Sus scrofa: one gene and its partner. The protein of the gene in region 1 purifies or fractionates together with the protein of each later gene. This does not show direct contact. Links are inferred from orthologs where the notes say so. Each region holds a gene or a part of one and is shown in the gene's direction. Other genes may lie near its edges. The genes, in order: ACVR2B and INHBA.

The links.
Region 2: the proteins of ACVR2B (region 1) and INHBA purify together in Homo sapiens (affinity purification with western blotting; 3 studies listed by BioGRID and IntAct, with this or other methods). This does not show direct contact. The link is inferred for Sus scrofa from reciprocal best matches to the Homo sapiens genes ACVR2B and INHBA.

What each region holds. Positions count from the first base shown.
Region 1 is NC_010455.5:23,252,293-23,264,287, forward strand, and holds part of ACVR2B (activin receptor type-2B), read left to right. Parts: intron 1-7,218; coding exon 7,219-7,426; intron 7,427-7,645; coding exon 7,646-7,755; intron 7,756-7,907; coding exon 7,908-8,059; intron 8,060-8,141; coding exon 8,142-8,285; intron 8,286-8,684; coding exon 8,685-8,828; intron 8,829-9,101; coding exon 9,102-9,250; intron 9,251-10,188; coding exon 10,189-10,303; intron 10,304-11,347; coding exon 11,348-11,486; intron 11,487-11,575; coding exon 11,576-11,706; intron 11,707-11,995. UniProt on the Homo sapiens protein: Transmembrane serine/threonine kinase activin type-2 receptor forming an activin receptor complex with activin type-1 serine/threonine kinase receptors (ACVR1, ACVR1B or ACVR1c).
Region 2 is NC_010460.4:52,883,806-52,895,900, forward strand, and holds the start of INHBA (inhibin beta A chain precursor), read left to right. Parts: upstream 1-5,878; 5' UTR 5,879-5,911; coding exon 5,912-6,299; intron 6,300-12,095. UniProt on the Homo sapiens protein: Inhibins/activins are involved in regulating a number of diverse functions such as hypothalamic and pituitary hormone secretion, gonadal hormone secretion, germ cell development and maturation, erythroid differentiation, insulin secretion, nerve cell survival, embryonic axial development or bone growth, depending on their subunit composition.

The sequences.
Region 1 (11,995 bases):
CAGTGGGTTAAGGATCTGGCGTTGCTGTGAGCTGTGGTGTAGGTCGAAGACATAGCTCAGATCTAGTGTTGCTGTGGCTGTAGGGTAGGCTAGCTGCCGTAGCTTTGATTCGACCCCTAGCCTGGGAACTTCCATTTGCCATGGGTGCAGCTCTGAAAAGCAAAAAACCCCAGCTGTCTGCAGGGCTAGGGATGGGCAGCCCCCAGCCATGGGAAGTGATAGTGAGATCTGAGGTTCTGACTGTCCCTTACCAACCAACCCATCTATCTTTGGACTTATCTCTGCCCCATTTCCAGATACATCTGGTGCCACAAATTCCCGAGTTTGGGAAGGTTCTGTGGTAGAAATCATGTTGCTTCTCAGCTTTCTCCACAATTTAGGAGTCTGTAGTCATTGACTACTTGTGTATTTGCTTTCCAACTTTAGAACTTCATTTCTGTGGTTCTTTTATTTCTAATTTTTTTTAAAAGTTATTTTTTAAGTTTTAAAAATTTAAAATTTCTGGCCACACTCATGGCATGCAGAAGTTCCCAGGCCAGGGATCGAACCTGAGCCACAGCAATAACCTGAGCCAGTGCTGTGACAGTGGGTATTTAACCTGCTGAGCCACATAGGAATTCCTCTGTGGTTCTTTCCTGTTCTGTTCTTCTTCCTTTTTTTTTTTTTTTCCTTTTGGCTGCTTCAAGGCATATGGAATTCTCTGGCCAGGGTTCAGATCCAAGCTGCAGTTGTGACTTAAGCTGCAGCTGTGGCAGTGCCAGTTCCTTAACCCACTGTGCCAGAATGGGGATTGAACCTGCACCCCAGGGCTCCCTAGATGCTGCTGATCCTGTTGTGCCACAGCAAAAACTCCTTTTCCTGTTCTTTTTGTCCTATGGGTTTATGCCTTAAAAATCTTCTTTGCTGTGGTTTTAGTGGAATTACAGAAGGGGGCAAAAGTAATATCTGTCTCTCCTTGACCTTTACGGAAGCTCTCTCATCAGTGTTCTTCAGGAAAAATGGGCCCTGGAGAAAGGCAAGTGTTTCAGTGAGTGGCCTTGGACGCATACCTTGTTCTATGGGAGAATGGTGCCAGGGACTTGTTTATAGAGTTGAGGTTGGAAGTGACTTGAGGTGACCTAGCTTGATTCTTTGTTCCTAGGCCCAACTTCTGGAGGCAGATAGAGTTCCTCTTGTCACCCTTGGAAATTGCTCCTGAACTCCCATTTCTGGCAGTAATAGTCATCAAAATAGCTGAAAAACCTCCTTATACAAGATAATGGAAATGTTGGATAAAGTATAACAGATATCCTTTTAAAATGCATATGCATAATTGCATGTGTAAAAAAGTAAGGGAGAAGCAAGCTTGGGCTGGAATCTAGAGCTCTACCCCTTCACTGGCTAAAGCTGCTTATTCCCAGGGGACTTTGCCTCTCCATAATTTAGAGATGTGGGTTTAGTAGCAGTGTGTGAGGCATAGGAGATAAGATGTGGAATTGAGACTGAGGCTCACATGATAAGACCTGCACAGGGTTGTACATTCATTGAAAGTATGGACTAGAGGAAACCTTTTGCTGATAAGGGGATAGATAATGAATTTTTTTTTTTTTTTTTTTGCCTGTGTTGATGGAGGGTGGGTAGTTTCTCTTGAGCATTTGTAGCTATAGATATGTGCTTCCATGAGCTTGGAGTTGAGGTTGGTACCATCTGTGTTTCCTGGGAAACTGGAAGTTGAGAAATTAAAATGACTCCAGATTGGTAATGTCCTAGAAGATTTGGCAGAAGCAAAAATATAAATTATCTCTGGAAGCTTGCCCCTCAAAATCTTGGCCTCACTTTTTATTCCCACAGAAAAGGCCCCCACTGAACATAAGCTCTGAATCCAAAAACAGAATCCAAAATTCCAAAACACACAGGGAAACAAGAGACCACGAGTGAAAAATCATCAGAAGTAACAAGTGGCAGAAATAAATATTCAAGAAGTTAAATTATGGAATTACTAGATAAGGATTTAAAAGTATGACAAAGATCAAAGTTATCAAAATTGACCAAGAAGATTTTTTCTTTAATAGAATTTCTAGAAATGAAGAAGTAGAGTAATTGCATTTATAAATTAAGTAGAACTAAACTGCAAATTAGACCGAGCTAAAAAGAGAATTAATGAGTTGAAGTTAAACCTATGGAATTATCTGTAATGCTGCTTAGACACAGAATTGAAAAATATGAAAGCAGAGTTGAGATTGGGGATGGCCTGATATTTGTAAGAGGAATTTTAGAATTAAAGAACAGGAGAGATGCAATATTCCGGTTGATAAAAGCCACAAATTTTTCAGAATTGATGAAAGACATGAATCATCAGATTTAAAGCATACTCTTCTAAGCAGTGTAAATAAATTTCACCGTAGACACAAAGCCCATCAGTGACACTTTAAGAAGTAGATGTGAGGAGTTCCTGTCATGGCTCAGTGGTTAATGAATCCGACTGAGAACCATGAGGTTGCGGGTTCGATCCCTGGCCTTGCTCAGTGGGTTAAGGATCCAGCATTGCCGTGAGCTGTGGTGTAGGTCGCAGATGCGGCTCGGATCCCGCGTTGCTGTGGCTCTGGCATAGGCCGGTGGCTACTGCTCCGATTCGACCCCTAGCCTGGGAACCTCCATATGCTGAGGAAGTGGCCCAAGAAATGGCAAAAAGACAAAAAAAAAAAAAAAAAAAAAAAAGAAAAAAGAAAAGGAAAAGAAATAGATGTGAGAAATCAGCCAGAGGGAAAAGACAGAGTATCTACAAATTTAAACTAATAGATGTTTCAGCACTAATGATGGAAGCCAGATAATATTTTCGCTGAAAGAAAATAACTCAGCCTAAAAGTTTATGTTCTAAACTGTCAAGTTACGAAAAAGAACAAAATAACATTTTCAGAAAGGCTAACAAAGGCAACTCTACCGAAAGATCTTTACTGAAGGAAGGTGTTCTTTGGGAAGAACAGTGGTCCTAGAGAAAGAGCAGAGATGCAGAACGGATGGTGAGCAGATAGGTTGGTGAATGTATGGACAGACAAGAAAATGCTGATTGTATCAGATATCTGCTCTGGGAGGCAGGTAAGAAGAACAACAGCCAATTAAATACTGAACACACACGTTATATTAAATTAATTAAATGTAAGTTGGAAGGAGGTAATTGGAGATTAGAACCATTAAGTTCCTATGAGGAATGTGAGAGATGGTGATTATTTTTAGGCTGTTAGCATAAGTATACATATTAGGATTTAAAGGTTAGACTAGAATAGAATAGAAATAGGGTTCATTATTTCCAGACCAGAAGTGGCTGAAATGTGGAATTAAAAAAGATAATCCTGGTACAGTGGATTAAGTATTGGATGTTGTCACTGCTGTAGCATGGGTTCAGTCTGGTCTGGGAACTCCTGCATGCCAGGGATAACCTAAGGGTGGCAGTAGTAGAGAAAAAGCAAATTTAACCATAGTGTTAATTATAAATATAATGGGACTTAATTCTAGATCAAAGACAGTGTTAGGTTGATTTGAGGGGAAAAGATACAGGAAGATTTAAAATAAAAGTTGGAAGAAGATAAATTGGGAAAATACTAATTACAAGAAGTGTCATATAACATTGAGAATAAAGGCATTACCGAGCAGGAGTTCCCATTGTGGCTCAGCAGAAATGAACCTCACTAGGATCCATGAGGATACAGGTTTGATCCCCTCACTCAGCAGGTTAAGGATCCAGCATTTCCACGGGCTGTGGTGTAGGGTCGCAGACACGTCTTAGATCCGCATTGCTGTGGCTGTGGTGTAGGCTGGCAGCTGCAGCTCTGATTTGACCCCTTGCCTGGGAACCACCATATGCCCTAAAAAGAACCAAAGACAGGGGCATCACAGAACACGTGAAAGGCACGTACTCCAGAGCCAGGCTGCCTGTGTTCAAAACCTGGTTTTGACTCTTAGTAAATAACTTGGATAGAGTTACTATCTTGTGTGAAAGAAATTCAGAGATGAAATAGAGGCACATTTTTAGATTCTTTTCCTGCCTCTTGTCTGTATGTGCCATTCCATGGTCTGTATGTGCACACCTGTGTGTGTGTGTGTGTGTGTGGTGCTAGCCCACGCTCTTGCCTCCATTTCGGTTGTCTGTGGCCCCTACTACACCTGGCCAGCCTCCCTCTGGTCGTGGGAAAGGCAGTGAAGATGCTCCTCTGTGGACTGGGGAACATGGAGTCAGCATCCACATGGAGTTACAGCTCAGATACTGTCGCTGGGAGCCCTCACCTTCAGGACTCCAGGGAGTCCTCTGGTTGAGCCTGCTGGGACAGCAGGTGCTCAGCTAACTTTTGGTTAGCATCTAAAGCAGGGCCTCCCAGGAAGGGAGCGTGGTCACTGTTGCGGGGCAGGCGGTGGCTGCCTCTCTCTTGGCAGACCTGAAGGCTGGACCACGAGGAGAAGGCTGGGCTTGCCTCACTCAGCCTCGGCGGTTCCTGGGAGGGTGCACTGGTGCCAGGGGCCTGAGGGAGTGTGGGGGACACGGGCCTTGAGATGCATCCTGGTCTTGTCACTCTCCAGTGCCTGCAGAGGGAGGTAGGGGCTGCTGAGGGGCCTCCAGGTGCCAAGGGCAGAGTGCAATGACCCACTTGCTGCTGGGGTTTGTAGTACCTCTGGGAGATGTTGGCTGGGCTGGGTGCACCTCCATCCCAGAGTTCGGGGACCCCAGGGGAGGTGTGACTGCTCTAGCTCCAAACCCTCCACCAAGACTCCTTCTCTCTTTCCCCCTCCCCAGTGGATTTCCCTCTTTTCTCACCACTGGAACAAGCCCAGTGCATCCAGGGCTGATTGGCCTGGGAAACAGACCTCAAGTATCACAGCTGGTCCATGTAGCTTCATCCACCTCCTGGAATGTGGGTTCTGAGTGGAACCTGAATATGTTTTTTTGGTGGTGGTGTGTGTCCAGGAGCGGGGTTTCTCTGCTCTGAGGGCTTGGGGAACACTGGGGACTTCTTTCCACCAAGGTGTAGCCCCCTTGGAACTTAAGGACTGCCCATTGGAGACACTGCTGCTTGGATACCTGGTTCCTTTGGAGGCCAGAGGTTGGGTTGGCTGGTGCTTGGGGGTAGAGCCAGCCCCTTGCCCAAGTGTCTTTGGGCGGGGGGGGGGTGCTCAGTTTCCTCTCCTGCAGAAATGGGCAGTGGGCTAAGGTCGGGGGAGCCTGCTGTGCTTGGGGCCCTGGCTCTGTGGGTGTGGGCAGGAGCCCCATGCCTGGTAAAAGGCAGAGGGCCTTGTGGTTGGAGTGTTGCCAGAGGCTATAAATAGCTGAGTGTGTGCAGAAGAGGTATGGGGAGGGGATCCCTCTCCAGTTGGCAGCAGAGCCTGAGCTGGAGGTGGGGGGAGGCATGGTGTCTCCCAGTCTCCCCTGATCCCCCCGGGGCTCTGAATGCAAAGCTCTTGCAGGTGTGGGTGTACACACTGCCAGCTTGATGGGGTGGAGGCTTGTGTTGTGACAAGATGGCATAGGTAGCAGGGAGGGGTCTGGCTCTGATAGAACAGCAGCCGTGCCAGGCATTGTTCCAACCACTCTTTAAGTCATTTCGTTCTTGAAACAGCCAAGGCAGTAAGTACTGTTATCACCCCCTTTTTCACAAGTGGGGACACAGAGGCACAGGGTAGCTGGAGGTGTCAGCACCAGGACTTGAATGCAGTCAAGGCCACCTTTTTCTCACTTAGTCTGTAGGAGGATCTTGTCAGGTGGGGGTCTAATGTCATCCTGGACCCTTCGGTCCTACCTGGAGCCTTGAGGTTTGGGGTTCCCAGCCCTGTCCACATAGATCCTGCCCACAGTAGTGTCCAGAGGGTTCCCTGCCTGGTCATCAGCTTGCAGAGTGGAGCTAGACCAGCTTTGGACCACTCTTGATGTCTAGTGGCCTCTCTTGTTTGGGCTCCTGACGTCACATGTGGGAGCAGGGGCTTGTTGTCTGAGGGGAGATGGAAGCTCCTCTGAGGCTCGGGGGCTTGGCTTATAGGCTGAGGCTGCCCTATTGTCCCCTCCTTTCAAAATCCTGCTCTAGCCAGGAGATAACTATGTCCTTGTGTCCGACCATAGATCCTTCCTTCCGTCCTTCCATCCATCCATCTATTCCGCCTGTGTCCAGAACCAGTTCTAGCACTCGGCAGGCATGGCTTCTGCCTTCATCAACTTTACTGAGGGGAAGGCTGTTTAAAAGACAGTCCTCAAGCACATTTGCTTTGTTTCTTATGTGAGTGTTCATTACATTATTTTCTCCTAGGGATTATTTTTAGTTATATTATTTTTAGACTTCTTGAATGTCTGAAATAATCCTTTAAACAACAACAAGCAACTAGTCAAGGAAGATAAATTGGGTAAATGGAGGATGCAAAAGGCCACAGGGTTGTAGGGGTCCTGGGGACAGTGGGGCAGATTTGGGGGCCGGGACTGGGGGCTCTTTGGGAGGGCATGGTAAGAGGAATGGACTTGGTAAATGTTGGAGGCTGTGTTTGAAGGGGCAGTTGGGCTGAAGTGTTCAGCGACCTGGATGGCCCATGCACAGGGCAGAAGGGGAACGGGAGTGGGTAGGAAGTACCTACAGGGGTCTTGAGGACCAAGCCCAGCTGGGAGGATCCTCTGTTACCCTTGCTCTCCACCAGCCAGCCCCGCTTGGTGCACACATTCCCCCATGGTGATGCTGGGAGCCTTAACCTTCCTGATCCTTTACCACCTTCTCCAGTCCAGCCAGGCGCAGGTGCTGTTTGCTGGGTGCAGAAGGGACCCTGGAGGGTGCTCGTTTCCCATCAGGTCTGGTCAGGGGTGTGTGTTTTGGTGGGGGTCGGGGGACGATGACACACACTAGCATTGTCTCCCTGGAGGACTCTGGTGAGTGTGGGACAAGGCTGAGGCAGCGGCAGGAAGTGCCTTCCTAGTTTCTGAGACAGAAGGGGTGGTTCAAAATGTAGATTAAGGCCCACTCTAGTTGAATGGGTCTGGGCTGGGCCTAGAAATATGCATTTTTAGCAACACTCTCTGCTGCACCCTAATAGTGATTCTGACATGCTTTGGGGTTTGAGGGCCCCTCCATTCACTGCTGCAGGCCCACTCCCACTCAGGGGCCTCAGGAGCCAGTAAAACCCTTCCCTGTGCATCTGGCCGGGGAGTCCAGCCCTGGCCAGCCAGCCTCCCTGACATGGCCTGGGTGGCTCAGCATCTCCCTCCCCCTGGCGCAGGTTCCGGGCGTGGGGAGGCCGAGACACGGGAGTGCATCTACTACAACGCCAACTGGGAGCTGGAGCGCACCAACCAGAGTGGCCTGGAGCGCTGTGAGGGTGAGCAGGACAAGCGGCTACACTGCTACGCCTCCTGGCGCAACAGCTCAGGCACCATTGAGCTTGTGAAGAAGGGCTGCTGGCTAGACGACTTCAACTGCTACGACAGGTAGTCGGTGCCGCCAGGGCCGAGGAGGGGCTCTCCTGGGCCAGCAGGGGTGGTACCGGGTCTCTCTGAGTGCGTGTCCACCCTTGGTTAGCCCTCTTGACTTCCTGCTTTAGGGACGGTGGTTCCCCGTGGGGTTCTCTTTGGGGAGGGGTTTGGCTGGGCTGCCCCGGGGAGTCTGTGCCCCTCAACTGAGGGGCGGATGGGAAACTGTGCCTCCAGGCAGGAGTGTGTGGCCACCGAGGAGAACCCCCAGGTGTACTTCTGCTGCTGTGAAGGCAACTTCTGCAACGAGCGCTTCACCCACCTGCCTGAGGCAGGGGGCCCAGAAGGTGAGGGCCACCGGGGAGGAGACGTGGGCCAGCTGAGGTCCCGGAGCGCTCAGCTCCTGCTGGGTGGGGAGCAGCTGCAGGGCTCTCTGGTCTGGCCCTGGAGGTGTGTGGGTAGGCGGGCTGTGTGACGCCGGGCTCCATGTGTCCCCCAGTCACGTACGAGCCACCCCCGACAGCCCCCACCTTGCTCACTGTGCTGGCCTACTCGCTGCTGCCCATCGGGGGCCTCTCCCTCATAGTCCTGCTGGCCTTCTGGATGTACCGGCATCGCAAGCCCCCCTATGGCCACGTGGACATCCATGAGGTGAGACGGGGCTGGCTTGGGGCAAGGCGGGATAGAGGTGGGGAGGCCAGGCCAGGTCCTATTAAGCCCTTGATCTCTCCAGGACCCTGGACCTCCACCCCCGTCCCCTCTGGTGGGCCTGAAGCCGCTGCAGCTGCTTGAAATCAAGGCTCGGGGGCGCTTCGGCTGTGTCTGGAAAGCGCAGCTCATGAATGATTTTGTGGCTGTCAAGATCTTCCCACTCCAGGTGAGTGTTTGCCACTCCAGGGCAATCCCAGGGCCCATGGGGGTGGAGTGGGGCTAGGGTAGTGCTTTGCAAAGCCGCAGTCTGCTCTGGTTTTCAGGAATTTGTTCTGACATCAGGTTCTGCTTAGAGGCCCTGGACAGCAGGCCACCCTGAGCAGTTGCTCGGGACACTTAGCGACGACAGGCCTGCTCTGCTTCTCATTGATTAGGTGGTCTCTGGACCTCAGTGGCCCCTTGTCAATCAGATGCTGGCCTCAGTGCTCACATCACTATTGGCTTATGGTCCTGGGCCTGGCACAGCTCTGCTTTGCCTCCTTCACCGAAGCTGAGGTGGGGGCAGGGGTGGGGGAGCAGGTGGGGCACTTCTGCAGGGTGGAGTTCAGCTGCTTCCCCGCCTCAGGACAAGCAGTCGTGGCAGAGTGAGCGGGAGATCTTCAGCACGCCCGGCATGAAGCACGAGAACCTGCTACAGTTCATTGCCGCTGAGAAGCGAGGCTCCAACCTGGAGGTGGAGCTGTGGCTCATCACGGCCTTCCACGACAAGGTGAGCCATGCTTGTGGCTCCCGCTCCCACGTAGGTGAACAGGCCCTCCTGTGGCTTTCCATGGCTGTGGATGTGAAGGTGTGCAGTCAGAAACCCTAACCCTGGGATCACTTCTTAGGAATAGTAATGACTTCATGATCACCACCCCCTACAGCGCCTTTCCAACCCCTTGTGGCCTCATCGCTTCCAGCCTATAGCCCACAGAGACAGCCCTCCTGGGCTGGGCTGGGCTGGGTTCTGTCCTGTGCCCAGAGCCTGTGCTGTCTCCTCTAGGGCTCCCTCACAGATTACCTCAAGGGGAACATCATCACGTGGAATGAACTGTGTCATGTGGCAGAGACAATGTCAAGAGGCCTCTCGTACCTACACGAGGACGTGCCCTGGTGCCGTGGCGAGGGCCACAAGCCATCTATTGCCCACAGGTACCTGGGTTAGCAGTTGCCTTCCCTGCGCCTGACTTGGAGTTGCAGAGAGGGTTGGAGGGTGAGAACAGGGCCTGGGGGTCTCAGTTTCATAAACAGGCTTAGCCGCTCTGTGGTGTTTCAGAGGTGACTACACAAAACTCTGGGCCCTCCTGGCCCTTCCTCTGCCTTTCACTGGCATCCTGCAGGCTGACCTTGCAAGTCAGTTTTCTTGTGCCCTCCAGTGGCCACAGGAGGAAGTGCTGACTCTTTTACTTTGGTTGGTGGGTTGGTTTAGCCACTTCTCAAACTTTTTGGTTAGAGTCCCTTTAATTCTTGTGGGTTTTGTTTGTTGATATTTGCTGTATTGGAGCACACATACTGCATTAACTGTCAGAGTGATGACGTGTGTATAGCCTCTGGAAGATTCTATATTCTTAAGAGAACAAGGATTTTCTAAGAAGGCAAATAACAGATTATTATGAAAAGAATGTTGACCTTGCAGATCCCCTGAAATGCCTCAGGGACTCTCTGGGGTCCTTGGCTGATGCTTTAGGAGTCACTTTGTTAATTCCTCATCACAGTGCTCACTAAATGGCAGGCAGTGCTCTGAACACTTAGAAACACCAAGTCATTTAAGCCTCATAACCACCCTGTGAGATAGGTACTGTTTTTCTCACCTCATCATTTTTTTGGCTGCGCCATGCAATGGCTTGGTGTGGGATCTTAGTTCCCAGGCCAGGGCTTAAACCTGAGCCGCAGTGGTGAAAGCGCCAAGTCCTAACCACTAGACCACCAGGAATGCCCTCTGCCCGTGTTAAAAATGAGCTGGGGCGGACCTTGTTCCCCAGATATGGTGGAATGGCCTGGGCTGGGGTCTCTGGGAGTCAGGGTGGGAAGCTAGGAACCAGGTCGATTGGACCACATGTCAGCTCCACTTCAGTCCATTGTCTCCACAGGGACTTTAAAAGCAAGAATGTATTGCTGAAGAGTGACCTTACAGCTGTGCTGGCTGACTTTGGCCTGGCTGTTCGGTTTGAGCCAGGGAAACCTCCGGGGGACACTCATGGGCAGGTAATGGGCCTCAAGGGGTGCAAGATGGGGGCTGGCACTGGGCTGGACCCTGCCCTTCTGGTGCTCACCTGGCAGGGTGCAGGGGCAGGGGTTACCTTGAGAGCTCAGAGCAATGCTGTCATTTCACCAGTGGGGAAAGTGAGGCCTAGAGCGTAGTGTGGCTTCCCGGGCCTATCAGTGAGAAGCAGATTCTTTTTCCTCTTTCCATTCTAACTGTTTTTTTGCCTGCGCCTGTGGCATGTGAAGTTCTTGAGCCAGGGAGCAAACCCATGCCACAGTAGTGACCCAAGCCACTTCCGTGATAACGCCAGATCCTTAACCTGCCGAGCCAGTGGAGAACTCTCAGTTGTAATTATTAAACAAGGTAAAAATAATTATAAATATGGAGTTCCCAGGGTGGCTCAGCAGAAACAAATCTGACTGGTATCCATGAGGCCGCAGACTCCATCCCTGGCCTCACTCAGTGGGATAAGGATCCGGCATTGCTGTGAGCTGTGGTGAAGGTTGCAGATGCGGCTCAGATCTGGCATTGCTGTGGCTCTGGTGTAGGCTGGCAGCTCCAGCTCCAGACCTCTAGGCTGGCAGCCTTCATATGCCATGGGTGTGGCATTAAAAATATGTATTATTATTATAGATAAGAATATACTAAGAATCCAAAACCAAAAACCTACAATAACTAACTAAAGTTAAGCTTAAATCATCCTAGAACAATTGCTATTATTATTTTAAAGTATTCTCCCCTTTTTTTTTTGATGTTAATCTCTGCAAAATACACACCATCTGTGTAGCCCCTTGTGGTTTTGCTGGAGTAAAGAGGCAGCAGTTCCACATTCGGTTACCATTGTCTCTAATGATACTTGAAAATTATCCCTGAAGTGTAATTTACATTCTGACCCTTGTGCTCCCACCCAGTGGATGTGGCGAATCAGGAACAGCCATCATTGTCGATGGCCCTGCTGTGCATATGGAGTGTAGTTCTCAGGGCCAGCTGTAAGTGCATTAGTGTGTGGTCAGTGCCTGCAGACCCTCCCTGTTCTCGCACAGGTGGGCACGCGGAGGTACATGGCCCCTGAGGTGCTCGAGGGAGCCATCAACTTCCAGAGAGACGCCTTCCTGCGCATTGACATGTACGCCATGGGGCTAGTGCTGTGGGAGCTCGTGTCCCGCTGCAAGGCTGCCGACGGTGAGCGGGCTGGAGCCCCGAGCTTCCTGGGTGTGGGGTGGGGAGGGGCAGAGCCCTCAGGTGACCCCACTGGGCACTCTCTTCCCCAGGACCTGTGGACGAGTACATGCTGCCTTTTGAGGAGGAGATTGGTCAGCACCCGTCCTTGGAGGAGCTACAGGAGGTGGTTGTGCACAAGAAGATGCGACCTGCCATCAAGGATCACTGGTTAAAGCACCCGGTGAGGGCCCTGGGGTGCAGGGGCAGAGAGGGGGTCCTCAGGCAGCAGGACAGTTGTCATCCCCCCAGCCTGGTCAGAGGCCACTTAGTGCACTGCCTTCCTTCCACCAGGAGAATATTTGGGGAGGCTTGTGCCCTTCAGAGCAGCAGAGCTGGGTTTGGCCCAGAGAGTGTGGGCTCCATCAGGGCCTGGGTTGCCCCCAAGGATCACTGGCATGGGGCGAGCCCACCGGCCCTGGGCCTGACACATGTGGGTAGGTATCCTGGCTCTGCCAGTCAGCAGCTGGGTG
Region 2 (12,095 bases), on another chromosome or scaffold:
GACAGACGGTTTGCTTGAGAAGAAAAATGAACATTCTTGCTCCCTGATCTATGCCAACTTTGTGCAGGGACAGCTGCTGCCACGGAGTAAACACGGCTAGAGGTGGCCCGTGCCCCCAAGAAGTGTGTCGCTGAGGGCCACAGGGCAGCACAGGGTCACGGGTCTCTCCCCCAGCTCAGGCCATCCGGCCTGTATCCTTAAACGAACTTTGTTTTTTGACCAGCTCACTAATTGTGATTGAAAACACTAGCTTTCCCAGCAAGGCACAAGCCCTGGAGTTCGCAGCAGCAAGACAGGCCCTAATTGCTCCATTTACATAAAAGTAGAAACATACAACGTCTAAATATACATCTCTGGCACATCGTGCCTTTTGCAATTACAGTAAAATAAGGTACCACACTTTCCCTCCCGGCTCCTCGAAACAAGCTGCTCCCCCCCTCCCTGGGTTCTCCAGGGGCCGCTCCTTCCAGGCGAGAACAGAGCCCTGCAGAAGGCTCCGGCGAGCGAGGAGCCGGGCGCTTTGTTGAAGTAGCCAGTAAATCAGGCCGCCCGCACTAGGTGAAAAACGCGGTGGCAGCGGGCCACCGTGCTAGCGCAGGAGCCGGCAGGACCCGGCAGGACCCAGCTCAGCGATCGGAAAAGGGACAGAGCTGGAGGGGCGGTAGCGCTCCCCGCGCGCCTCTGTCCGCCCCGGAGCCGGCCCTCAGGTCCCCGTCCTGGTCCCTGGCATTGGCTGCGCTTTGAAGCCCTGCCACCGAGGGCTGGGTTCAGAGATTGCCAGCTGCACTCCCCGATCAGTGCTTCTCCCCCCCCCCCCCGCCCCCCACCTCCCCCCCTTCTCTGAATTCTCTAGCTGCCAAAAGGGGGGAAAAATCAAGAGCTGCTCTTAAAAGAAGTTGCCCTTGCGGGTGCTCGGGGTAAAAATAGAGGCGGCCGCTCCGCCCGGCTTGGCCGTGACTCCAGCCCCGCGAGCCGGGCTCGAGCAGCGGCCGCGATCCGGCGTGATCCCCGGGAGCTGCCAGCAGGTGTTGCTCAAGGTACAGTAGCAGGCCGAGCAGCGGGCCCGCAGGCCGGGGAGGGGGGAGCTGCGGGGGGAGGGGCAGGAAGTGAAAGAGAAACCGACCCGAGCAAGGAACAGGAGATGCTGGTCGGGAGCCGGGCTGCCCAGCTCAGCCCTGGGCCCCGGAGTCCGGCAGGGAAAAAATCACCCCCGGTCCCGAAAGAGTGGAGCGAAGTTATTTGAACCTGCCTGCTTCCTCCCCCACCCCCTCCCACCCCCTCCCACCCCCCACCTTCGTCTTCCTCTGAGCGAGGAGGCATCTCCCGCGGGGCTGAGCCCGGAGGTTGGGGATTCAGGTAGAGAATGACGTCACAGCTGGTGGGCTGACCCAGGCAGGTGGGCACTTCGATGGCATCCGTGGCCAACGCGATCTGAGTCACAGAGATTGGGTGGCTCCTCTGGGGTGCTGCAGATTTCCTGTGACACAGATGTTCAGAGAGAGGCGCCCACTGGGCATCTCGGAAATCATATCGCCTCCTGTTTTTCGGAGCACGTGCTTTTGACCCCGCAGGGGAGTTATTGTGGAGCCCACTTTAGAGACACTGAGGTTATCTGGTAGTAAGTAGCAGCATCCGGGGTCTCCTCCGGGTGGGTTTGTGCCCCCAGACTCATAAACCCGGTGGCGTTTCCAGAACGCCACCCGGGGTTGGGGGGGGGGGCAGGGGGGAGTTTAGATGCCCCTCAGACCGCTGCTCTCCCGGAGAGCTCATTTAAAAAGGGTAAGGGAGCTCCTTTCTTGCAGAGAGCTTGGGTCCTTCCAGTTCCAGACTGAGGGGCAGGGTAGGAGTTTAACCAGCACTGATCCTGTTTCTGTCTTTCCTTCTCAGATTCCCTCTGTTCCTCTACAACCTAATGATTTTTATTTTTGACTTCATTTCTGCATATGCAATTCTTAGAATACTCCCTGCCCCAACCCCCATTTATGGCTCTGACCTCACACTTTCTCTGTGTTTAGCCAAGGCAGGCCCGCTTCTGCAGACTTCTGGTGGCCCAAAGAAAGGGGCCTAAACTACCCATCAGGAGGCCAGAGCCTCTATATTTTGCTTGTGGGCACAGTGAAAAGTTTATTTTATGCATGTTAAATCCTGCATCCACAATAACGTATCTTGTCATATGGCTTTCATTAGCTCCCAATTTTGCACATTTTATTCAACTTGTCATGAGTACCCGGCTTGTGCTTCAGCTAGACTCCTTCAAACAAGCCTTCCATTTTTATGTCTGAGGCATCTTTCCTCCTGTTTTTTTTTTTTTCCCCTGACTTGCTAACACTCCCCCCTCCGTCCCCAAAACATCGTGACCAACTTAACTCCTCTTTCAGGAAATGTTCACTTCTTTCCATTAATCTCATGTTCTCTTTGTAACAATTTAGAAATCATAGGACTTGAAGTTCTGATAAAGAAGAATGATGTATGAGTTTTTTGGTTTTTTTTTTTTTTTGTATTTTTGTTTGTTGTTTGTTTTTTTTTTTACTAGTTAGTTTGGGATTCTAAAGACTTGGGAAAGACACTTAGAAGGTTCACCAGCAGAGAATGACTGTTTCCAAAGTTCTTAGTGATAAATGATTTATGAAGCCGGCATTCAGTTTCAAGATGTAAAGTAATAGTGCAAGTGGGCTGGGGGCGGAGATCATCCCTCAGAGATATACATCGTTTCCTATTTTTTCCTCCACGAAATAGCTTATTTCAAAAAGGAAAATCAGAACCTGTAGGGAGAGCCCTGCGAATTTTTTTCCCCTGTCAGCAACAATAAAATACTTTGTCAATAGAGGCAACTTCATGGAGAAGTTTTATGGGAAGACACAGAACTGAGCCTGACAAGAGGGAGAAACTGACGTGCTTGATGTGCGAGTGGTCAAAGTTGAAAGCTGGTCCCTCAGTGAGCGCTCGCTGTTGGGTTGCAGGATTTTTCTAAAGGGTCGTCTAGTCAGTCAGAGGTTTCCCTGGCTCCGTGATCACCCAGGAGTGTCACAGCAGCCGAGAAAGGCTTTCCATTAGATAATGAGTTATGAAATATGTCTCACACTGGAAAAACCAGTCATCTGCTGATGTCATTCTGCTTCCAACCAATCCCAAACAAAGCCCCAGCCCTCCCTGCTTGACTGGTACCAATGTGTGACTGTACAAATAAGTAGTACAGTATAAAAATTCTCAGTGCCAATGCCATGAAGAGGAACTCCGAAGGCACTTGCCACATGATACAAGAGTCTGCTGGTGAAAGAGAGAGGACCGGAAAGGTAATGCTTTTTAATGCTTACTGCTGTGCTCTTTACACGTGCCTAGCCAGAAGGGTGAGCAGGAATTTTTACAACTTATTGGCATTTCCATGCATATTTGATGATCTGTGCCTTTGTAGGTCTTCCAGCGAGTTAAAACAGCTTTTAATAGCAGAGCATGCAAAGCGAGTATGTGTTTCTCCAACCCAGTCAGCACCTCCTTGCGAGTACCTGTGCCAGGAGAAGGCTCATTTTTAAGTTACCTTCACAAACAGAAGATTCGGGGAACGCACACAAACTCAAATACAGGGAGAATCTAAATAGTGATCAGTTGCACTTAGCTCGGTGAAGCTGGATGAGGGCTCTCAACTTGTTTGGAGCCATTCAACTTTTAGTTCTATTTCAGAGTCTCTTGTAAAACTTAATTGGACTACAAAAGCTTTGGGCACTGTCTGTGTGACGCCAAATAGGTAGATTATGTTAAGTAATCTATTTCAAAGATGTTTTATTAAGCAATTATTGACACAGATGCCCCCCCCCTTCCCCATTCTCTTTCGCCATCCCCCACTAAGAAACTAAATTAGACTCTTTAGGGAATGTTGACAAAGTCTTCACAATAATAGCAGAGGAATTGACGTTTCTGGAGGTAAAATCCCAAAGGTGGCTGGTAACAGAGGGATTGCTGCAGTCAGTTGCTTTAGAAAAGGGGGACAGGGTATCCAATTAAGAGAAGCATCCTTACCTGTGCGAGCTGTAATTTTAACTCAGCATCACACTTGTCTCACCCGCATCCCCTTGCCTTCAGAGGGGATGCTTGTAAATAAGGGTATTTATTAACTTTTCCCACCCAAAATGCATTGCTTAACTGTAATGCTCTGAACACACTAGGTGTCAGATATAAGCCGACTGTATCTACAGAAACTGAGAGGGCTTATGTGTGGGAAAGAAACCGAGAGGGAGGGAAAGCTTTAACAGATGGACCTCTTAAAGATACTTCTGCAAGATAAAAGCAATAAGACAGAAAATGAAAAAAAAGGGGGGGAGAGAATTAAAAAAAACTCAGAGAGGCATTGTTTAAACATTCACATTTTTCTTTTTGCTGTGAACACTGAAATCCGTGATGATTTCATCTTGTGCTGTTCCTTGGAGAGAAAAAGAAGCCGTCAGGGGGCCAGTCCATGAGCAGACTGGTCTGGAATGGGGATGGGGGTAGGGGCCAGGCTGAACAAACTACCACATGACAGAGAAAGTCATTTGCCCATATATTTTAGCGATTCTTTCCCCCTAGGACCAGTTATTCAAGTCACGGGAGCGCACTCTTTATATAAAATAATGTGGGAAAGGCCAACTGACTTGTGCGTTTTATCTGTGCAGTCAGTCAGGGCCAGCGGTGGTAAGCTGTCATCTGTGCGTGTGTGTGCAGGGCAGAAGGGGCACGGCTAAGAGAGGGTGCAGAGCTGCACATGACAGGAGCGTGGACCACGCTGCCTGCCAGCCCGCCTGCCTGTGGATCTTCCAATGCCCGGCTGCATTTTTGCATTTGGGGAAAAGTAGAGTCTGTGACATGACCCCAAACAAAAGTTCTCTGATCTCTGATCGCCCGCCAGCGTGGACGGCCCTGAACACTGAACTATGAATGAAGGGCGGGGGAGGGGGGCGGGGGGGGGCGCTCTGCAGGATTCCCTCAGCCCAGGAGGATGGGCTGGCCCCTCTTCCCAAGCCCTCCATCACCTGTCCGCCCCCTCCGGGGACCCTGAACCCCACCTTCCCGCCGGGGGTGTCCGAACCCCTGAGTCGGTGGCTCGGCAGGTGGAGGGGCGCTGGGCCAGGCTGGTTCCGGCGGGTCCTCTCGGTGGATTGATTGAGATAGGGCGTCTGTGTCTGGGCTTTGCTTCCCCCCCCCCCCGCCAAAAAAAAAAAAAAAAAAAAGAGGAAGAAGGTGAAGCAAGGGGACTGGGCAGAGAAAGCAAGGGAGGGAAAGGAGAAGTGGCCCAAAATCAGGAGCGTTTCCTCGCGGAGGGGAAGCAGACCTCGGGCGGCGGGTGGTGTGTGCAGAGAGGTGTGTGCGAGGGAGCCGCGAGCAGCAGGCGAGCAGCCCGTCAGAGCGGGCGGTCCCTCCCCTTCCTAATCTCAGCCTTTACTCGCAGCGCGGCTCCCTCCCTCTCCCATTCACTCACTCACTCGGGGCCAATCGCTCCCTCTCTCCCCCTCTCCCCCCCCCTCCCTCCCCGTCTCTCTTCCCTCCCATCCTCTCTCTGTCTCTGTCTCCCCCCCCCCGTCTCTCCCCCCTCCCTCCCTCCCTCCCTCCCTCTCTCTTACTCTCCTCCCTGACAGCCACAAACCTACAGCCCCGACTGCATCCAGAGAGGGAACCTGCAAACAAACTTCACAGCAAACTTTTTGTTCTTGTTCCAGAGAATTGACTGAAGAGGAGACAGGAAACAAACAAACAAAAACAAACAAACAAACCAACCAAAACACACACACACACACCAAAACCCCAAAAAGGAAAGAGAGAGAGAAAAAAAAAAAAGCAAAAAAAAAAAAAAAAAAAAAAAAAAAAAAAAAAAACCCGTGCGTGAGGGGGAGGAAGAGCGGAGCCTTTTAAAAGGGCCGTCACCACAACTTTGGCTGCCAGGATGCCCTTGCTTTGGCTGAGAGGATTTTTGTTGGCGAGTTGCTGGATTATAGTGAGGAGTTCCCCCACCCCAGGATCCGGGGGGCACAGCGCAGCCCCGGACTGCCCGTCCTGTGCGCTGGCCACCCTCCCAAAGGATGTACCCAACTCTCAGCCGGAGATGGTGGAAGCCGTCAAGAAGCACATTTTAAACATGCTGCACTTGAAGAAGAGACCCGATGTCACCCAGCCGGTACCCAAGGCGGCGCTTCTGAACGCGATCAGAAAGCTTCATGTGGGCAAAGTGGGGGAGAACGGGTACGTGGAGCTGGAGGACGACATCGGGAGGAGGGCGGAAATGAATGAACTCATGGAGCAGACCTCGGAGATCATCACCTTCGCGGAAGCAGGTGGGTGCTGGCCTGGGGGGCGGGGTGGGGGGCACGGGTCTCCGACCGCGCGGGGGGAACCTGCCGCCCTCCAGCTGCACCCGCCCGGGAAGGTCGTGCGTTCGCCGGGCGCGGGAGCGGGCCGGCCGGGGGGCGACCAGGGGCGGACCGGGAGGGAACCTCCCGGAGCCGGGAGCCCAGGCAGAGCCCCGGCCGGCGGCGGCAGGGAGGGGGTCGGCGTACACTTGCTCCGCTCGGCCGGTCGCGCCGAGGAAGCGCTCGGCCGATCCCGGAGCAGGAAGCCGGCGGGAGAGAGGCTCCCTTGCCCTGCCCGGGAGAGCAGAGCAGGGCGGCGAGAGGAAAGCCGGGCAGTTTCGGGGGGCTGGGGGGGGCGGGAGGCTTCCGGACCCCATCCGAAGTTTCTACCCGGGGGCGGGGGAGGGGGCGGCGAGCGCGGGATTGGGGTGGAAGGGCACGGAGGAAGTCCTTGTCGCCCAAGCAGCCCTTTTTCTTTAAAAGTCCAATCAGGGGCCACCTTCCAGAAGCGGGGCATCTGCATTAGTGACAGTCGTGTTTACCTTTGGCAACTCGGCTTCGAAGGAGCACAGGCATCACGTTTTAGGCAGGGACGAGCGAGAGCGACGTGGGGGTGGGGGTGGGGGTGGGGGTGGGGGCACATGACATTGAACCGGCAGGCAGTTGCTTTTTGGAACACTGACTTTTGCTCTCGGAACCAAAAAAAAAAAAAAAAAAAAAAAGGAAAAGAAAGAGTTTTGTTCTCTGTAAAGTTACTAAGAGCTCTCTGCCAAGGAATGCAACCTTGACAAAGTGCTCCAGATACTACACGGAGCTCTCACTCAATCCTTAAGAGGAAGAACTTTAATAAATAGATTCTAATCGTTGGCTCAGGACCACACGAACCTGTTGCTGAAGAAAAAAATACCTGTCAAGCGGGAGGGCTGGAGACCCGGGGCCAGGTCATTTTTACAGTTATGTGACCCGGATCCTTTTGCCTGCCTACAAGCTGGGCAAGTCCAGGCACACAGATGTGTTAATTCCATGTTACTTTCATGGTAATGCCAGGCTACAGAATGGTATCCCTTGCCAAATCCATTTGAAAGGAATGCCATTGTTTTGTTTGGTAGAGCATATGGCCAGTAAAGTGTGTGCCGGGACTCCCAGCATTGCTGTTTAAAAGTTTGCCGCAGCAGTATAAACAATTAAGGCAACACTCAGAATTTCCAATCCTGAAAACCTGTTGACTCAGATGTTATGTGCTCAAGAAAACCGTGCGAGACCTGGGCATCCTCTTGAAGGGAGCAGATAGCCTGCTGGCTTGCTGGCTTCTCCTCCTCGGCAAAGCCCTGATGTCCTAAGGGCGGTTCTAGCTGTCTCACCAGAAGCTTCTTTCCTTTCGAGAAAGGTCTGACTACTTTCTTCCTCTAAACCTTTTTTTTTTTTTTTTTTTTAATGAAGCCCCAAAGGCCCTGATACTTTTGACTTTATCTTTTGAAGCGTATGGAGGGGAAAGGCAGGGTGGAGCTTTCGAGTGGCTACCCAGATTTGCTCAGTCTTTGCCGGGGTCCTGAGCAGCAAGTGGATTCCAGTGGTTGGGGGGCTGTTCCCACTCTTGCCACAAAGGGACCCTGTACAGGTTTTTATACACCAGTTGCCACACAGCACGGCCTTAATTGCAGCTCTTCCTCAACTGGCTTTACCCACATCATATGACTAAGTAGACTTATGCCCCTGGCCCCTTTGAATTCTATCCCTGATACCAGCACTGGGCCCCCGGATCTGACTTTGACTCGGATAGCGAATCACTCGCTCCCTTGGCATTGAGAATTTTGCCATGGAAGAATCTGACCTTTCCCATTCTTTCTCACGTATGGCCTCGTCTCATGCCAGTCTTTCCCTCAGTCTTGTCCTTTTTTTTTTAAACTCCTCTGGTAGGTGTTTGGTTGGAAAGAAATTGAGCTGCTTTTTGAAAAGGTGGATTCATTTGATTCGCACATTGACTAAAGTTGAGGGTCTGTAATGGAAACTCCTCCCGTTTGCGTTTTACACCCAGACTCGGGCTGAGCTGCTGGATCCTCAGCAAAGATTTGATTCTCCTTGCTCAGTTTGCTCATTGCAGAGGTTTTGCCTCGGGCCGATTTAGTACGAGTTCCCCAGAGTGACTGCCCTACGGACGGTCTCCTCTCCCGGAAGAGAGTAGTACCGTGTCTGTGGGCGCTTCTATGCTAAACCAAGAAAGAGATTTAACATCGGGGTGACGGTAGTGAAAATACAAACATGTCTCATTGCTCTACTGCTATGACTAAGTCAACCTGAGCAACACTCGGCCAAAGTCAGAAGTCAAGATTTTTGAGAGCAGCAGAGAGCACTCACTGTCCTTTTCTTCAGAAGCGATTCTGTACCGCGTAGGATGCAGTCAGTAAGTGTGGCCTGCGTGAGGGTCACACGCCTACAGAGGCCCCCCTCGGTCTCAGGTTTCCTCAGCTGGGGATTCGCGTTCAGTTGTTGCCTCCACGCTCCACGACCAAACAGGCCGAGACAGGGCCACCTGGCAGTTGAAAGATGACAGCACCTCACGTGCCCAGAGGTCTTTGAACTGAGTCAGTCTCACTGTGCTCAGGTGCCCAAGGCCTCGTCCTGGTAAAGCTGAGAGGTTATGGAGTAAGAGGCAAGGAGTGGCCCTCGGGCTCTCTGGAACATATTCCCACAAACAAAAATGCTTTTTCTCATCATATCTGTCACCCAGCATTGCTCACTGAGGTCACTGCACTCTTGGCAAGGCTGGCAGCAGAATCGTCTACTGTGTTCTTGAAAATCTCAAAAGAAAGGAGGAAGGGATGGGCAGAGCTAAGGCAACTGTCCCCGTCATTGTCACGAAAGCTAAAGTCAGTGGTTTTCGCGACCACTGTATCCTGTTTTATCTCCTTTGCATTAGTGACAACAGCCGGCAAAGTACAATAACATGTATCCTTGACTCTCTGTGATGCCAAGTTTATACACCGATTCTGGTCGTTAAGTTAGCAGTGACAGCACTTGCTGAAGAAAGGCTAGGAAAGGAAGGCAAATCAAACACCGAGAAACAGAAAACACTGACATAGCCCAAGGGTGGTTGAAAGCAGCGTGTACACCGCCTCCCCTGGAAGATCCTAGTTACAGAAGATTTGCATTAGAAATGGTCACAAATGTTCCCGAACAGGGGCTGGAAGCAGCTGGCTGGGATGAGTTTTCCTCCACCCCAAGAAGGCCAGCTCAAAGAGGAATGGACTCCCGTCACCCCCTGGCAGTCTCCTGAACTTGCCTGGGAATTCACCCTCCCTGGAAGGTGTCTTTAGGGGTTACACACTTTCTCCTCTGAATAGTGGGGCGTGATTGGCCACAAGAGGGCGCCTTCCAAAGACTTTTGCTCCTTATCTGTTAATCTTCTAGGGAAACACAATTTCACCTACTGGAAGCCCCAGGCTGTAGCGCCCTAATCTCAGGGATTATCAGTTCCCCGGCTCCTTCCTCTCATCCTCTGGGAAAAGTTAGGCTTGTTATGGGATGGGAAGGACGTGACTTACCTGTAACACGTGAAATGAGACCGAAGGAGGGGAAATGGGAATTCTAGTTATTGATACATGTGAACATTCTGGAGCTCTCTGGAATGATACATTTCAGAAGCAAACAAAGCAGAGCGGGAGAAATGTGGCCCTGAGTCATCAGCAATACTGAGCTGCTCACACATCTCTCCCGAATACGGCCGCCTGGGCTTTTACCAAAAACCCCATCTTCTGTCTCCCCTGATTGGGTTGCCTAGGTCAGTCAGTCTTATCAACAGGTTTTTCAACCAGTGACACATGACAAGTGACTTCAGACTGGGAGGAGAAAGTCTGTGGATTTAAGGCAGCAGAGTGTAGGGCTTGGGAAGATGTGTTCGTTTCTGAGCGGAGGGCGTGGAGAGCAGTGGTGGAGAAAAGCTGAGAGAGATGGATTCGATTCGTGGTTTGGGCCTGTGAGGGAGGAGTGCGGGAGTGGGAGTGCGGGGAGGGTCGGGGGAGAGCTTGTGTTGTCTGAAGACAGGCTGAAAGCATCCCTGCCCAAGCTCTTTTCGTGAAAGCCCCGTCTTTGTCTTGGCCTCTCTTCTGCTAAAAATATACTCCAGCAAGATCTCTCAGCTAGTCTTCCTGTGGTTCGGAACGCTATCCCCCCGCCCCCCCCGAGTCCCAGATCCAAAATCCAAAGTGTAAAAGTTCTCAGGAACTTTGGAAGAAGGCTCTGAAAGTCTGTGGGTTGCACCTCAGAATTTTCTCTGCGTCTTTCAGGAACCCAAGATGCCTTTCTCTTGAAAATATTTCACCTTTTTTCATCACCCTTTAAATGAAAGGCACAGGACTGTGGCCGATCCTTTACAATTCAGTAAATGTCAGGAAAGATATTAAGGCTGAAAAAAAAATCAATCCAGATCATTTCTAACCCAACTTGCAGCTCTGCCCTGGGGGGCAAGACCGACCTCTGGATGGAGGCTAAAGGAGGCAGAATCTTTAAGGCCTCACTGGCTGCTTTTTGCGGAACCCCTGGTTAACAGTCCAAATGCGAAATCCGTGCTCAGGGAACACACATGCTGTCAAAAGTGGCTCTATATTCCCCCACCAGGGACCCTTCCACAGCGAGGCACAGGGCAACCTCGGTGAAGAATAGAAGATTAAAGTCATAGGTGAGATTTACAGGGAGGCTCCCCTCCTCCCCCATGTGAGTTTAACTCTTTCTGAACAGCGCGGTTCTCCCAGAGACCCACCTCAGGGATGTAATAATTACCCACAGGGGAGGACTGCGTACTTTAAAGCAGGACCACGGTGAGGAAACAGAACAAAACAAAACCGAAACCCTGCCTGTTAGTATTGCTTATTTCCTCTGACTTGTTCAGGTGCCCAGGAAACTGAGATGCGGGGGGGGGGGGGGGGGGGAGCGTGGGGAGGGGGATGAGGAGCAGCATTTTGTATCCTGGTGTGGGGGAGGAGAACAACCAGGGACTTGGCTGCTTAACCCTTGGCATGCCTGCCTCCAGGAGTTACGACACAGCTGAAAAATCCTGAAAGCAGGAAGGCGAAGAACAACCGGGCTCTCAAGGTGGTTTTACTTCCAGGTTCACAGAGTCTGGTCCCGTTCAGTGCCTCCCGCCCAGCAACCTTTCTGCAGTGCTCCCTAAGCGGTGCAGGGACACATCCCTCCTCCCCATTTTTATGCACTTTTTTTTGCCTCTCCCTTTGATATGTGTCCACCGAGCTCAAGAGAGGTTTAAGTGATGAAATATTATCACCCACATGGGTTTGCGTGGGACTTTCTTAGTGAATTACTCAGGCAGAGCAGGCTGTGATACAAGCCTTGCTCACGAGCCTCCGGAGGGAAAAAATAGCACAGAGGATGAAAAGAATATTATCAGAGAGTAGGGAATGAAAGGTTAGCAAAGCCCCCGGCTAGATCTAGTTAGGTAAGTCACCGTGTAGGAAGGCAGGGCACACCTGTATAAGCTGATGCTATACCTGCTCACAAAAGCATTGTGGGAAGGCTTCCATTCCAGGATTTTACAGCAGAGGATCATTAAGTCAGACCTGGAACTGACGAGAAATTGATCCTGAACACCTCAGCCCTAGGCAGCCTCCTTCCATTTTTCCAGTTGCTGTCATCCATGGTGATTCGGGTTCGGGAGTATCCTGAAAGCAACCCTGCGTTATAGCTGGGGTCTCAGGTGGAATGCAGACGAAGCGAATAGAATCAAGGGACTCCTTATATTTTCATGCCTAGGAAATTTGAAGGCTGTCA